Rattus norvegicus: one gene and its partners. The protein of the gene in region 2 interacts with the protein of the main gene of each other region in a pairwise test. Links are inferred from orthologs where the notes say so. Each region holds a gene or a part of one and is shown on either strand. Other genes may lie near its edges.

Evidence for each region. The genes of interacting proteins can lie anywhere in the genome.
Region 1: the proteins of Sf1 (region 2) and Rbm17 interact in binary tests that used the Homo sapiens proteins (3 or more experiments, as listed by UniProt). The link is inferred for Rattus norvegicus from reciprocal best matches to the Homo sapiens genes SF1 and RBM17.
Region 3: the proteins of Sf1 (region 2) and Kpna1 interact in binary tests that used the Homo sapiens proteins (3 or more experiments, as listed by UniProt). The link is inferred for Rattus norvegicus from reciprocal best matches to the Homo sapiens genes SF1 and KPNA1.
Region 4: the proteins of Sf1 (region 2) and Sf3a1 interact in binary tests that used the Homo sapiens proteins (3 or more experiments, as listed by UniProt). The link is inferred for Rattus norvegicus from reciprocal best matches to the Homo sapiens genes SF1 and SF3A1.

Annotation. Positions count from the first base shown.
Region 1 is NC_086035.1:71,849,916-71,853,480, reverse strand, and holds part of Rbm17 (splicing factor 45), read right to left. Parts: intron 2,244-3,565; coding exon 2,127-2,243; intron 823-2,126; coding exon 656-822; intron 1-655. UniProt on the Homo sapiens protein: Splice factor that binds to the single-stranded 3'AG at the exon/intron border and promotes its utilization in the second catalytic step. Involved in the regulation of alternative splicing and the utilization of cryptic splice sites.
Region 2 is NC_086019.1:213,097,751-213,102,115, reverse strand, and holds the start of Sf1 (splicing factor 1), read right to left. Parts: upstream 2,836-4,365; 5' UTR 2,449-2,835; coding exon 2,418-2,448; intron 847-2,417; exon of another isoform or gene 841-846; coding exon 712-840; intron 1-711. UniProt on the Homo sapiens protein: Necessary for the ATP-dependent first step of spliceosome assembly. Binds to the intron branch point sequence (BPS) 5'-UACUAAC-3' of the pre-mRNA. May act as transcription repressor.
Region 3 is NC_086029.1:78,259,592-78,263,156, forward strand, and holds part of Kpna1 (importin subunit alpha-5), read right to left. Parts: intron 1,561-3,565; coding exon 1,453-1,560; intron 1-1,452. UniProt on the Homo sapiens protein: Functions in nuclear protein import as an adapter protein for nuclear receptor KPNB1. Binds specifically and directly to substrates containing either a simple or bipartite NLS motif.
Region 4 is NC_086032.1:83,257,946-83,261,510, reverse strand, and holds part of Sf3a1 (splicing factor 3A subunit 1), read right to left. Parts: intron 1,128-3,565; coding exon 920-1,127; intron 12-919; coding exon 1-11. UniProt on the Homo sapiens protein: Component of the 17S U2 SnRNP complex of the spliceosome, a large ribonucleoprotein complex that removes introns from transcribed pre-mRNAs.

The DNA of each region.
Region 1 (3,565 bases), on a different chromosome or scaffold from region 2:
GCTCAAAAATAGGAAAGGAAGCCAGGTGTAGTGGCCCAAGCCTTTAATCCTAGCACTCAGGAGACAGAGGCAGGTGGATCTCTACATTTGAGGTCTACAGAATGATTTCCAGAACAGCCAGTTACAGAGCAGCCCTGTCTCAAAAAACCAAAACCAAAATATAGTAAAGGAACAGCACTGAAATACTGTAAATATTGTGATTCTAGCAGTCACGAACCCTGCAAAACTTTCAACAATGGTTTCTGTTGTTTTGATTTTGAAACAGGCTGGCCTTGAACACTATGTGGGTGGGATTACAGCCATGAACCACCACACCTGGATACCAGTGGGCTTTCTAAGTTCTTTTTCTAATCCACACAAAGTCTACGCTTTAGGTCTTCAGAGTCTACACATACATTTCCTCAAGTGTGCTATCAATGTGGGATGGAACGAAAACAAGGAAACTCTTGGTGACTGAAGCCATAACCTCAGGCCCAGAGACCATACTAAAACTCACTCAGATTCTAATGCACACTTGTTTCCACATCAAGATGAAGCCTGGGTTGGGGATTTAGCTCAGTGGTAGAGCACTTGCCTAGGAAGCTCGAGGCCCTGGGTTCGGTCCCCAGCTCCGAAAAAAAGACCGCCCCTCCCCCCCAAAAAAGATGAAGCTTACTTTTCTCTTTCCTCTATTTCCTTCTGTCTTTCCAGCTCCCGCTGCCTCTGCCGCTCTTCTCTCTGGCGCTTCACCACTTTCTCATAGTCGTTAGGAAACATTGGGTCATATTCATCAGCCAAGGGGATCAGGACTTCCCCTGCAGAGAACCCACTGGGCACAGGGTCCTGGGGAACAAGAACACCTGAGTGAGTGCCGTATCACATCCTGCAGGGTTATCAGAGAAGCAAAGGTCCCAGGATGAGGCAAGAGAGGCCTTCCAGATTATCTAAGGATCCTTTATTTCCTGGTGAGTTGAGGCCTCCCCTCACCAGATGGCAGCACAACCTGGCAGTTAGGCAAAAGCTTATGTTGGGAAAAGCACTGACAATCACGGTAAGTCTTAAGTGAGGTTTAAACTGGCATCTGAGTGACATCTGTACATGTGAAAATGGATTACCATTTTCCAGACTTCCCGTGCTCCCTCCAGAGTCTCACAGTGCTACAGACACATAGCCAAGGATGACATGAACAACTCCCAAGCCTTCGGCTTCATAATAGGAGCCCGTTCTATTAACAACATGCAGCATTACGCCCCCCCCCCCCCTTTTGCCTTTCTTTAAAATGACTTCTAACACTGGTAACAGACAGTTAGAAATAACCTTACGGTTTACATTAGAAGAATGAAGTTATAGCTAATCCACTGGAGGCAATCCACTGAAACTATTAACACTGGCCATACAGGGACTGGAGATAGGCATTAATAAAGTCACTGACTGGCTTTCCAGAGGACTCAGGTCTCACTCCCATCACACATACAGTGGCCCCCAACTGTCCCACCACCATCCTAGGGATGCATCCGCACAGGCAAGAGGAACACATGCAGTGTACTGAAACATGAGGACAACACACTCACACACTCATAAAAGTATGTTTAAATGACCGTGTAGTTCTATTGTTTTGAAAAGGAGAAATGGACAATCACTAAACACAAATTAGAGAGCAGAAGGCCGAGAAGTTACAGAAAGATATTCTAAAATTATGTAATTTTGTAATGCATAGAAGGTATGTATGATTAAAAAGATAGACTTTTCATTTTTACCCATCTTTCATTCCTGAAGTTTCCATAATAAACTATTTTAGGTAATAATACTAGCTTTCAGTGGCCTACTGAAGAGACCCTTGTGGGGGCTGGAGATGGACAGAGGTTTACAGTGCTTACTGCTCTATCAGAGGATGGCTGGGAACTCGGTTATCAGCACCCACACAAGGTTCACAAATGCCTAACTCCAGCCCTAAGAGATCTAAGGCCTCCTCTGGCCTCCATGGGTGTGTGCATGAGTGAGCAAGCACGCTCAAGCACTCGCGCGCGCACACGCACACACACGCGCACACACACACACACATGAGATAAATCTCATAAAGAGAGGAACATACATGTAAAATAAAGAAACGTGGAAAATGCTTCAAACCACAGGTGGGTACGGCTTACCTTCAGCCCAGCTGCCACATGAGGTGGCGTGTCTACGATCTGTCGGTCATCTGAGGAGCCTCCTCGCTTCAGGTCGATGACTGGAGCGAGGACTGTACTTTGCTTTGTCCTTTGGCTCTGACACCAGAAACAAGAAAAATGCACCAAACATCCAAATTAAAATTCATGGTACTTGCAACAAAGACACCTTTTCTGGTCTCTGTAACAAACCTTTGGCTGAGATAAAATCATCCTTAAAGCAGTTAAGAGTCTAACACAATCAGTGTGCTTACTGTTTGCTGAGGGGTCTTAGGGAGCCCAGGCTGCCTCCAGTGCCCTCTGCAGCCGATGATGAACCTGGACTCCTGTTCTCCTCCCTCCACCGCTGAGTGCTGACTGAGCAGCAGACCCAGTTTATACACAGGGGCTTCAACACAGGCCTTCCTGGAAACTAGGCAAACACTCCCAACTGAGCTACAGCTTCATTCCCTTTTGCTCTTTTTTAAAAGCAGATTTCCTCTATCTATACAGTTTATAGTAAGTGTGGCCACTTTATGGCTGGCCTTAAACTTACAGACCTACCTGTCTGTCTCCAGAGGGCAAGCCCTATCCTACTTCTTTTAGAATGACTACCCCAACCAGACAACAATTATTCAATCTGTCTGTCTGCCTGTCTATATGTATGTTTGTATGCATGCATACTTGGGTGTGCATGCATGTGTGAGGGCCGGGTCTCTTCTTACACTATAGGGTTCTAGGGATCCAACTTGGGTCATCAGGCGTTGTCACTCACCGAGCCGCCTCACCACCCCTCCCTGTTTCCTAAACGTGCTTTTGATTTCCAAATCTTCAGCACACACCACCTCCATCTTCTTTGTTTTTCTCTGGGACACTGTTATTACAAGTGCTGCTACATATGTCTCCCTAACTTACAGCTCTAAGTTCTAGCAGATCTAAAACCTGTTTAGGTTGAGGTTAAAGGTAGTAGACAAGAATATCGTACAGCAAGCTGGTGAACACCACCAAATCCTCAGGTTGCCAGGATGCCATGGCAGATCATGCGGACGGACTGACGGTGATCACCAAAGTTTAACTTCTCGGTTTTAAAATTTAAAGTGGTACAAACTTTCATTCTTATCAGGAAGTCTGAGCTCTCTGGATTTTAATGGTGCTCTAGGCAAACAGCATATCATCAAGGTATTATATACAAAACCACAATATAAACCCTAACTTTCCATAATGGGCATTATGTCAATCACTTATTTAGTCATTTTAAAATTTAATTTTTCAAAAATGAAATACAAATGAAATCAAACCTTCACCTTTCAGATACAGGTAAATTTTTCCATACCAAGTATTTTTAAAAGTTTGGTTAGTACTCTGAGAAATTCACCAAAGAGCCCAAGAGAAACAATACAATGTAACTTCACTTCCTCATAAGAAATCAACCACACAGATGA
Region 2 (4,365 bases):
TGCACTTTTTGAGACAGCAGGACATATATAAAACTTCCATTAATGACCTTGGATTTTAAGTAATTTTGAGGTTTAACTTTTAATCTACTGTGGACTGTAACCTAATTTTTAAAATTCTGCCACCACCACTTCACTTCCAATCAAACAGCAAACCCTTCCCAGCAGAGTCCTTTAGTGGTGGTAAATTACAAGAGCCTTTGTTTTAAGAGAGCTCTCTAAAAACCAAACAAGAAAGGATACTGAAGGGAAGGATTGGATTCAACAAAATGGGTGAACTGTAAATACTTTCCGAGCCACTTTTTGCTTAAACTATTTTGTACCTATAAAAAACAAAACCACAATTTTAGGGAAAGGGAACTATGACATTATGGTGAGAGATCATGCTACAAAAAAGCAACTGGTTTACAATACCTGCAGTGTTCTCCACTGGGGCCCGTACAGAGAGGCAGATAGCATTCACCTCATCAATGAGCAAGAACAGCAGCTGAGAAGTGGGCTGCTGAGCTAAGGCCTACTTGCTGCGAAGAGCAAGCCCAAACAAGAAGCTACGAATGCAGGACTGGCCAAGCAAATCACAGTTTACATAGTTATGAAAGCATAGCTCATCGCACCTGTTCCCAAGACTAAAATCTCAGACTTTCCACAGGTTTGTCACTCAGAATAAGCAGTAACAATCTGAAAATTGCACCTGGATGCAGAACGTGTATTTACCTATATAAGCTCTTTCTTGTTCCCGAGTCAGGCCAGGGGGGATAACCGTAGGCATGCCTGGAATCACTGTCTTCTGTTCCATTGTGTCTTGGTTCCATCGGCTCCTCTTCCTCTTCTTACTTGGGAAGTCTAAAGACAGACAGAGTCTATCAGGTGGAAATATGAACCAGAAGAGTGACTACCAGCAAGCAGTTCACAATAAGACTAAACAGAAATCACCTAAAGTTTAAAAAGGAAAGAAATCTCAGAGGTCAGAGAAATCAAGCAGCCATTATAAAGGTTTTTGGTCCTCCTGTCAGAAAAGTTACGGAATAGTTCACATTTACTTTTTTTCCTAAAAGAACTAAAGAATGTAATAAGGTGTAAATTCCTTTTGTGGTGTTGGCAACGTCAAAGTCTTTACATATGCTGGGTAAGAGCTCTTCCACTGAAGCACATCTCCAATTCTTTGGGTCTTTTGTTTGGTTGTTTTTTGAGACAAGAGTTCCTTTACAGAACCCAGGCTGACATAAACTATGCAGACCAGAGATTCACCTGCCTCTACCTCCAGAGTGCTAGGATTAAAAGCATGAGCCATTATACCCTTGCTTCTAAGTCTTAATGTACAGAAACCCAGAATGGAAGCATTGAGCATATACATATGATCAATTCTAAATGTCTTAAAGGACAGAAAAGACAATAAAGATGAAAATAGGGCCACAAAACATTGAAGTCAAGCTCCAAGAGCAGACAAGTCTCTTGCTACACATTACTGTGGGAAACATCTTGTCCTCCAATATGACTATTCTCACAGGTGGAAAGATCAGCATTCAGTTTTCCTGACCAATGAATGGACACTTGTCATCAGAACTCTGATATTTTACCACTCAAGATTTTCTACTTCTCAGATTACAGGCCCAGAGAAAAAGCCTTTTAAAACAGCACGGGGAAAGCTGGTCACTCTGAGAACCTTCTAGAAAACAAAAGGAGATAAACAGCCTTAATAAATGATCGAACTCAAACATCACTAGCAGCCTTCCGAATTCGCCTCATTGTGAAAGGAGATACTCTTGTCACGGGACTAATCTCCCCTTTCAGGCTCCTAGAACCCATCAAAGGAACCACTCATACCACATCGTTCCGTGGACCTGACCCTCCTGTCCTCCATAGCAGGAGCTCAGGGGGCAACAGGTGGCCGCTTCAAAAACTACCAGAATTGCGCCACAAAGCCTGAACTCCTCACTGCGTCTGCGCAAAGGACGCTTCCTCCCGCCCTTCTACTCCTCATGATGCGCGTGCGCACTCGAAGCCTCCCAAACCAGGCCGCGCGTTCCCTGTGGCGCGTCCGTCCAGGCCTCCCGTGCACGCGCGCGCGTCCTTGCCGCGTACAACCGCGGCGCCGTGCCCCTCCGTCGGCCGGTCCGGTTCGCCCGACGCCTCTCGTGCTCTATCGGCTCAACTCACCTCCGCCGCCACCGGGCTGGCCCGGCTGCAGGTCCTGGCGCGGAGGCGACACTCGCTGAGAGTGCGGCGGCGCGGGGGCGGCTGCTGTGGCGGGTACGAGGTGGCTGGGGGCGGCGGCGGCAGCAGCACCGCCACTAAGGACAAGGCCCTGGTTAGGACCCCCAGCGATCCCACCGGCGGCGGCGGCCCGAACGCCATTAGGCTCGACCCGAAGCTGCCTTTGGGCCCAGGAAGTGGGGAAAGGCCTGGCAGGCCCAGCTTACCCAGCGGCGTGGCGTTCGCTCCGGTCGCCATGGCGCCCCAGGGGACCGGCACCAGCGGTTCCTCGTCCTCCGCGGCGGCTTCTCCTTCACGAACCTTCGCGGGTTGGGGGGAGGGGACCCGACTACGCTCCCGAAGAGCGCGGGGAGCCCGTCCTCTCACGCGGCGGGCGGCGGCGGCGCCAGACGCACAAAGAGGGAGGAGAGAGGACGCCGCGGGGGCGGGTTGGGGGCGGCGGGGCCGCGGCCTGGATTGGGCCGGCCCGAGGTGAGGTCGGAGTCAGCGGCCTCCGATTGGCGGAGCACTAGTTCTTTTCAATACGCGTCGGGATTGGCCGAACCGTTAGGCCAGGCGACGAAATGGCGGCGGGGCCGAGTGAACTGGGAGGTGTCGCAGCGCGCACTTCTTGTTACTGCGCGGACTGAGCTCTGAGGCCAGAGTGGCGGGGGATAGGATGGGGCAAAGTCTATGACGTAGAGAGAACGTTTAGCTCATTGGCTAAAGAGGATGGAGGTAAGCGCCTCGGCGTCGTAGTGCCACGGGATTGGCTGAAACGACTCCCTTCCCCCAGGGATCAGTCGCTCGGGAAGGGAGAAGCCGGAACGAAGGCGGAGGGCAGGAGGTACGCATGCGTAGGGAGGGCACGCGGTCTCTCCGCCCCTTACACCAGGGGGACCAGAACGGAAGCCCTAAGTGACGTTAGTCATTGTGTTAGAGGTAAGGAGGGACCACGGGGAAGGGGTGGGCTCGAGTTGACGAACCTGATAGGTCGACGCCGCAGGTAGAGAAGAACTTCCTGTTTTCTCTGGAAACTAGTGTTACAGAATGACTAAAATAGGGTAGTTGCGTAAGTTTAAAGATTTTATTTCCGGTCTTGGTGGCTCATACCTTTAATCCCAGTACTCAGGAGGCAAAGGCTAATTTCTGTAAGAAAATACCTGGTGATGGAACAGCACTTTCATCCTCAGATGAAAGACAACGTAGCCAAGTAGTAGCCTGTCACCGAGAACTTGAGAGGTGGATACGGGAGAACATGAGTTTGTGGCTAGCCTGGGGTACAGAATATCTGTCTCAAGAAAGTTTAAAAAAAAAAAAAAGGTTCAATGGCACCTGCCTGTAATTCTAATTCTTATAAAGTAAAATTAGGAGCTCAAAGTTATTAGAATGAGAGAAAGTCAATTCAGAAGTTAAGTGTGCACTTCCATCGAAATCTCAGTGTGTTGGGAATGTGATTAAGTTACCTTAAAATTACATACCCATGAAAATGGAAGGGAACTTGTAAATGAAACTGAGGCCAAACATGCCTTTCCATAAAATAAATGTAAAAATAATGAAAACACTTCTTGCCAGAAAAAAACAGGCTAGTGCAACATAATAGAACTTAGAATAGATAGGATTCTCAGAAAGCAAGCTATTTCAACCCAGTAGGGGGAAAGATGTTTAAAAATAATTAGAGTGGCTAGAGAAATAGCTTATCAAATAAGAGCATGCACTGGCTACTCTTCAGAATCCAGGTTTGATTCTTGTAATCCACATGGTGACTCACAACCATCTGTAACCTCAGTCCCAGGGCATCAATCCAAAGCCCTATTCTGGCCTTACAGGCACTGCATGCATATGGAGCATAGACTTACATGCACACAAAACACTCAAATATATAAGACATAAATATATTTTTTTAAATGATGTAGAAAAATCTGAAGACATGTAGAAACCAGGGTAATCTAGGAATTGAGAGACTACAAAGACAAACTCAAGTCCGGTGGGTGGTACAAGTCAACAGACTATGACAGATAGGGAGGAAATGGTCCTACAATAGAGAAAGAACAAATGTCTGGGCTGAAAATACAATTCCAGAGCTCTTGCCTGGCATAGGCAACTCCCAAACTCCACCTGCAGACCTGTAAAAGTGGAAGAAAAACCAACTGTCTAATACCCAAAGAGCCTTTA
Region 3 (3,565 bases), on a different chromosome or scaffold from region 2:
GAGAAGAAAATATTTGGTGATTGAAATAGCAAATACAGGGCTGTTTTTAAAAAAAGCTATATGCAGAGTTGGGGTGTGGCTCAGTGGCAATGCTGTTTGTCTAGCCTGAAAAAGGCTGAGTTAAATCCCCACTACCACAAAGATGTATGCATGTGATTTTTTTAAACTATATGAACAGTTCAAAATAGGGGCCTGAAAAGATGATTCAGCAGTTAAGGGCACTTGCCATTCTTGCAGAGGACCTGAGTTCAATCTCATCATCAACATGGCAGCTCACAGCCACCTATAACTCTCAATCTAAGGAGTTCACACCTTCCTCCAGCCTCCAGGGGCATCAGGCACACACACATCAATACACATGCAAGCAAAACACTCACACAGGTAAAATAAAAAACCTATCTTTACAATGTATAGACTGTCCATGCAGTGATGGTGCAAGCCTTTAATCCTAGCACTTGGGAGGCAGAGGCAGATGGATCTCTGTGAGTTCGAGCCCAGTCTGGTTCAGAGTAAGTTAGTTCTTGGACAGTCAGAGTTTCACAAAGAAACCCTGTCTCAGAAGAACAGAAATAAGAAAAAAGAAAAAGAAAAAAAGAAAAGAAAAAACACATATACTAATTGCTCATTATAAAAGGATTTTTAATGACATTTTCATAAATGCATAGCATATTTAATATAATTAAAATTACTTAATTATGATGCACAGACACTCAACAGATCTGATCCATTTCTGCATAATTTCTGTATCTTTTATGCAACCCCCAAGAAAGTTGTAACAAAACTATCTGATACAGAATCCAGTTTTTCAAATGTATGTTGGTTCTATGATGACAACTCTGGGGAGGGTGCCCATGCCACAGTTGCATGTGGTGGTCAAGACAAGGGAGTCAGTTCTCACGCTCCACCACCACATGAGTCAGAGAGTGAACTCAGGCCTTTCGCACTGAACCCTCTCACCTTTCTGTGCTTCCTATGATGTACTTTCTGTACAGCATACGCCCTTCACTGTATACATTATAAAGTACAACGAGATGTTTCAACACGTGTGCTTTATAGTTTTGTTTTGTTTTAAAACAGTATCTATGAGGTCAACGAGGGCCCGGAACTATCCTCTTTCCTCAGATTCCCCAGTACTAGGATTACAGACATCACCATGCCCAATTAACTTAACCTTTTTTTTTTTAAAGATATTTATTTATTTTATGTATGTGAGTACACTGTCACTGTCTTCAGACACAGCAGAAGAGGGCATCAGATTCTATTAGAGATGGTTGAGGACCACCATGAGGTTACTGGGATTTGAACGCAGGACTTCTGGAAGAGCAGACAGAGCTCTTAACTGCTGAGCCATCTCTCCAGCCCTAACTTACCCTTTCTATTAAACTAAAAAAGGAAAAATCCCAACATCTCATCACAACACCACCAAAGAGTTCTTTTTACCATCATACTTACTGGTGCCATCTCCATGTTATTTATCTGGGCCTCATGAAAGCCACCATCAGACATAACTTCTTCTTCTGTTTCTTCTTCTGCTGTAGCAACATTTCTTCTCTTGAATAACTGAAAAGTATAAGAATGTTAGTCACATAATTTTAACACAAAGGAATTCAACACCTTTTTAGTTCTAAAGCTTTGTTTGTGCTGCCTTTAGTGTGTTTCCTAGTGAGAAAGACTTTAGAATTCTTTCTCTACAACCTTACAGTTGAATCAATTAACTACCACACTATCTATGCCAGTTCTCAAGAGAAACCTGATACTGCATGAAATAAATGTGGTGGTGGTGATGATGACGACGACGACGACGACGACAACAACAACCCACAGGGATGAGAACAACTTTGGGCATGTTGAAGCCATCTCTTTCAACACCTGTTTCAGGCAGAAGGCAGTCTTAACATTTCTTCAGGAAAAAATGACAAAGACGCTATCAAACGCTATCAAAATGATCGGACACTTCATCTTAACAGTCTTCAAGGACAGTGTATAGAGGGCTCTAGAGCTGTCAATCTCCAGGAGTCAATGACAGCAAAGGATGACTATATGAACAGTGTCTTTTAAAGCCTCATTAATTTTCCGAGGCAATACTTTATATTGTCTATGTCTTCAAAGCCTACTACTAAGCTTGCACCACTCGTCACAATCTGAACTAGCTAAAAATTAACTGTAACAAGTGGCCACCATATTGGACAATCAGCTCAAAAGTTTAGGAATGCGGAGCGATAAAAGCAGTGTCAGACGCAGCTAGACCCTGAAACTCTACAGAACACACTTTCAAAATTACTGGTTCAGGTGATGTCAACCACCTATGCAACTCTGGATAAGGACTAGGACAAGGAATTTATAAAATGCTTAGAATGGAGCTGGGCCCTCGGGAGAGAGAAGCATATCAATCTTTGTGAGTTCAAGGCTAGCCTGGCCAGCCAGAGCTACACAAGGAGACTACCTCCACAAAAATGCTTAGAATGGTACCTGGTACAGCAAATATTCAAGAGTTAACTATTATCCACACTTCAAAATATTAATTGGTTCAGTTCACTAATTTAGAACTGTGTAGTCATTTACAACAAAAAATTAACATGCTAATTTTCCTTGTATAGTCAATAAAATTTTGCAAACTAAAAAAAAATATGACCTTTCTATAAGACACAGAAAAGTGACAGAGTGAGGCTTTTCCATGCCTGTAACCTCAAAAATAAAACCCTGTTGTGGTGGGTGTAGTGGCACGCACTTTAATCCCAGCATTCAGGACAGAGGAAGGCAGGACTGCTCTATGTAGACAATTCTAGTCCAGTCAGGGCTACATAAGCAACGTAGCCAGTGCTTACAAAAAAAGAAATGAAAGAAAGAAAAGAGGAAGGGGAGGTTATGGTAAGGGAGGGAAATATGTAAATTACAAGGAAAGAAGACACAAGCTAGCAAAGCTTTACACACACTCAGAAATTAAGTACAGCAGGAGAGTTTAAAAGGAAGAAAAGAGCAATCAAGATCATCTATAAAGTTTGCTGTCTGATTTCAAAGAATTGTTTAATTAAGCCTACCACAATGAATAATTTAAAAAAAAAACAACATTTATCATTATAGACTTCAGAATTGGGAGAAATATATAAAAAGAAAATAATATACAAAGAAGCAACAGTAGCATTTGAAAACCAGTATGAAGGAAAACAGTTTCCATATTCTAAGAGACTCTGCTTGAGGGGCTGAGGTAGAAAGACTGACAAGAGTTCCACAGTCTACACAGTGACTACCAGACCGGTCAGAACTATCAGGCAAGACCCACGTCTCCTTTTCAAAAGTCTACTCTACAACTAACTGCAGCAAAAGGATGAAGTTAATGCTTCTAGAAAAGTGGTCCTCACATGTGAGTCTCCACCCCTTTGCGGGTCAAAGGACCCTTTCACAGGGGTCACCTAAGTCCATCAGGAAATACAAATATTTACAACATGATTCATAACAGTAGCAAAATTGCAGTTACAAAGTAGCAACAAAAGAATTATACAGTTGGGTTCACCACAACAGGAGGAATTGTATTAAAGGGTGGCAACATTAAGATAGTTGAGAGCCA
Region 4 (3,565 bases), on a different chromosome or scaffold from region 2:
TGGGCTTGGACCTAAGACAGAGTGCAGAGCAAAACACAACAGCAGTAAACCATGAAGCACAACAGCCACAGACTCTAATGTTTTATTAATTGTGAGCATCACTGAAACTGGCTTAAGACTGGCAACTGTGCCTCAACTCCCTAATCTGCTTCAGGTGAGACAGTCTACATCTCTGACATCAAAGGCCTAAAAAGGTGGCAAATATATCTAGGAAATCAGCTGTAAAATCTGACTTAAGAGGCTGGAAATACAGTAAGGTCTATGTGTGTACAGTGATTTCTACTGCAAAAAAATACATCGACGTCTTCCAAGAGAACCAGGAGACAGAACAGGCACTGTGAGTACTTTTTACACATGAGAAAACCACAGCAGCCTTAGGCCATACAAGCAGCAATTGTAATACAAGGCTTCAAACATGACTTCAACTTTTATTTCTCACTGCCAAATAAAAAGCTGCCTTTTCCACAAAAGTCTGAGAAAGGTGCAAAATGATGAGACCAGGCCAGTTCCACCCAGCAGACAGAAGGCAGTGGTCCTCTGTCTTCACTGACACTCTTGACCGTCAGTCAGCACTCCTGGGCCCCAGCCCCAACAGAAGGGAAGAGATGACACAAGGCTACATCACTTCCTTCAGCTCAGCTGGGCTAAAAGGTTGCTCATGCGCTACAATTAACCCTCACTCCTTGGATCAATAAATCACAAGCCTTGCTTAAACAGTTGTTCTGCTGGGCTCTTTAAGATCTGAGCCTGGAGGACAGAGCTTCACCAACCAGTGTTCAAGAAGTGCTTCTGGAAGCTGAGGGTAACTTCACTTCTGCCCCTGGTGGTTGTGACTGTGGACAGTAGAGATAATTATGCCTGCCTACTCTACCTGTTCTTACTTCCTCCCTAACCCACAAAGAGGGGCTGGGCTCCAAACCTTCTGGGGCAGCTGTTGTTGTGTGGCTTGCTGCTGCTGCTGCATAACCTTGGGGATGGCAGCTGAGGGTTCCTGAGCCTTCCCCTCCTTGAACTCGCTGACCTTGTGGCGGTAGTAGGCATGGTAAGGGTCATTGGGATTTAAGAAATTGAACTTGGGGTTGTTGATCTCATTCTGTCGAATCCTAGCTTCAAACTCAGGCCCATTTCTGTAAAAAAATTAAAATAAGAGAATACAACAAAGAATGAATCCCACAATCTGTGACTACTCGGACCCAAATCTCCTTCTATTTCACTACCTTTGTCACCATCCACTCACCAAACCAGTCCATCCCTCAGGATAGCAGAACTGCTCCTTGAGCATCTAGGAATCAGTCAGCGTCATCTGACAATGTGAGCCTGGCTGCTTCCAACACAGCCATTCCTTACCCCACCCCCCACTTCTGTAATACCCACAATCGGCTGAGCAATTGCTTAGTTCTTGTAACATTTATTTTTTTGGCTGAGAATGTGGCATAAGTGTAGAGTGCTTATCTAAGGTCCACAAGACCCTGGATTTGGTACCAAGCTCCTTAAAAACAAAAGGGAAAAAACCCAAAACAGCTAATAAGTATTAATGCTTTGTTCAGATACTGCCTAAAGTAATTTCATTTATTACTGGGAGGCTCATGAAGGAAAAATTGCTCTGCAAGATTTCCATGTTCTGAACATATACTAGATAAGGCATGGTGTGTGGCTGAGTGGGCAAAGATCTTTGCTGACAAGATGGACACTCTTATGTTTGACCTCCTGGTTCTACTTGGTAAAAGGGAGAACTGACTCTCACCAAGATGTACTCTGATCCATGTGTATGTGTATGTGTGTGTTCATGTCATGTATACAGATATATATCCACACTATATCCACACTAAAGGAATGCCATCCTCCAGGATAATGAAAGAATATTTGGAGAATCCTGATTTTTAAAGTTCCAGTAGATAAAACTCGAGGCCGTAGTTTTTTCTTTTATTTGTTGAGATACAGTCTCACAAGTCCAGGCTAAGGATTGGCCCTGAACTCCTGATTTGCCTGCCTTTATTTCTAGGTACAGTTAAGTGTGCCACCAAACCTAGCTTCAAGTATCACACTTACATATAACATCTGTGTCAGCTAAAAGGCACACAAGCCTTAAAAGGCACGAGATACGGACACCTTCAGTGTCACGTTCACTAGTTTCACATACAGCAGGATTCCACAGGGTTTGTTGCTTTGACTTTCCCAAATGTCAAATGTGGCTAATACCACTTTTCCACTGTATTTTCAAATACTGAAAAGGTTTACTAAAGTAGCATTTAAACAGATGCTCAGGACTCTTGAATACAATGCCCACAAACACAGAGGACAGTTACTACTGTGGAACGTAGAAGGGGCAGTTCCACCAACACTGGAGATGACTGGCCTATCAGGAAATGCCCATGGGGCTTTCCCGGATTCTCTGGCCAAAAGCCTGCATTCAGAGGTGTCCCAAGCCAAGGCTCCAGGTACTCGTGCCAGACAAGCCACTCTTTCTCTAGACTTTCATACCCCTGGCTCTGTCAATTAAACAGAGCAGAAGACAAGATGCAGGCAACTTTATGGTTAAGAAAGCCATCACAACAAATCTATGACACAGGCTTAGCCTCTAGCAAATTCTGGTTACACCCTGTAGTGTGACTAATACCATGAGGTCTCAATTTGACTGTGTATTAGTCCAAGCAGAACCTCATGCTTTGGAAAGAAGCATTTTCCTACCTCCTATGTAATGCACATCATGCATATACAGGATGGATACAGATTTGGGTCCTGCCAGATCAGGTCACCATGCCTGGAAAATGCCCATGGAGACTACTGGCTTCTAGAAAAATAGGTCTGGTTGTCTCTTGCAGTACTGCCTCCTAAGCCATGGGTCTCTACACATCAGGGAACGCTTAAAAAGACATGCAAAGGCAGATGTACTTATTCCAAGAAATTCCAGCGCTCTAAGTTGGCTTCCTGTTAATTTTAGAATTAGCTCCTCCAACACAAGAAACAGATTTCAGCAGAAGAGCCTGACTGTCATGTAGTCCAGCTGGCAGAGCCTTTTGAAGGTAATTTCATCTACAGAGAAAATGCTCCTTTTACTCGGTCAGACTTGGCTGCAGACACCCACTGCCTGCCTCCTGAGCATGTGGCCTAGCAGAGACCTGAATACCGGCTCTCTCCAAGACCAAGATTGTGACCTGTCCCTTCACTGTAAAGCATGAGAAGGTAGGGGAAGAACATGCACATGTTTATGGTCAGGTCACGTGGAGACCAGAGGCCAACACTGAGTAAGTACCCTCCTCTATCACTGTCATTCTCATTCTTTGATGCAGGGTCTTGCACTGAACCTGGAGCTCACCACTATGGTTATGTTAGCAAGCCGGCCAATCAGCAAGCTCTGAGGAGTGGCCTACCTTTACTTGTGTTGCAAACATTACCCCATTGAGCCATCTCAAGGTCAGATTTCAGAATTCCTACAAAAATGATCACCAAGGATAAAAACCCATCTGGAAACATGGTGAGATGTTTACACTACTAGAAACAGAACTCATGTCCTATACATGGAGACATATACTCACTCTACCACTAAGCTACACAATCAACCCAT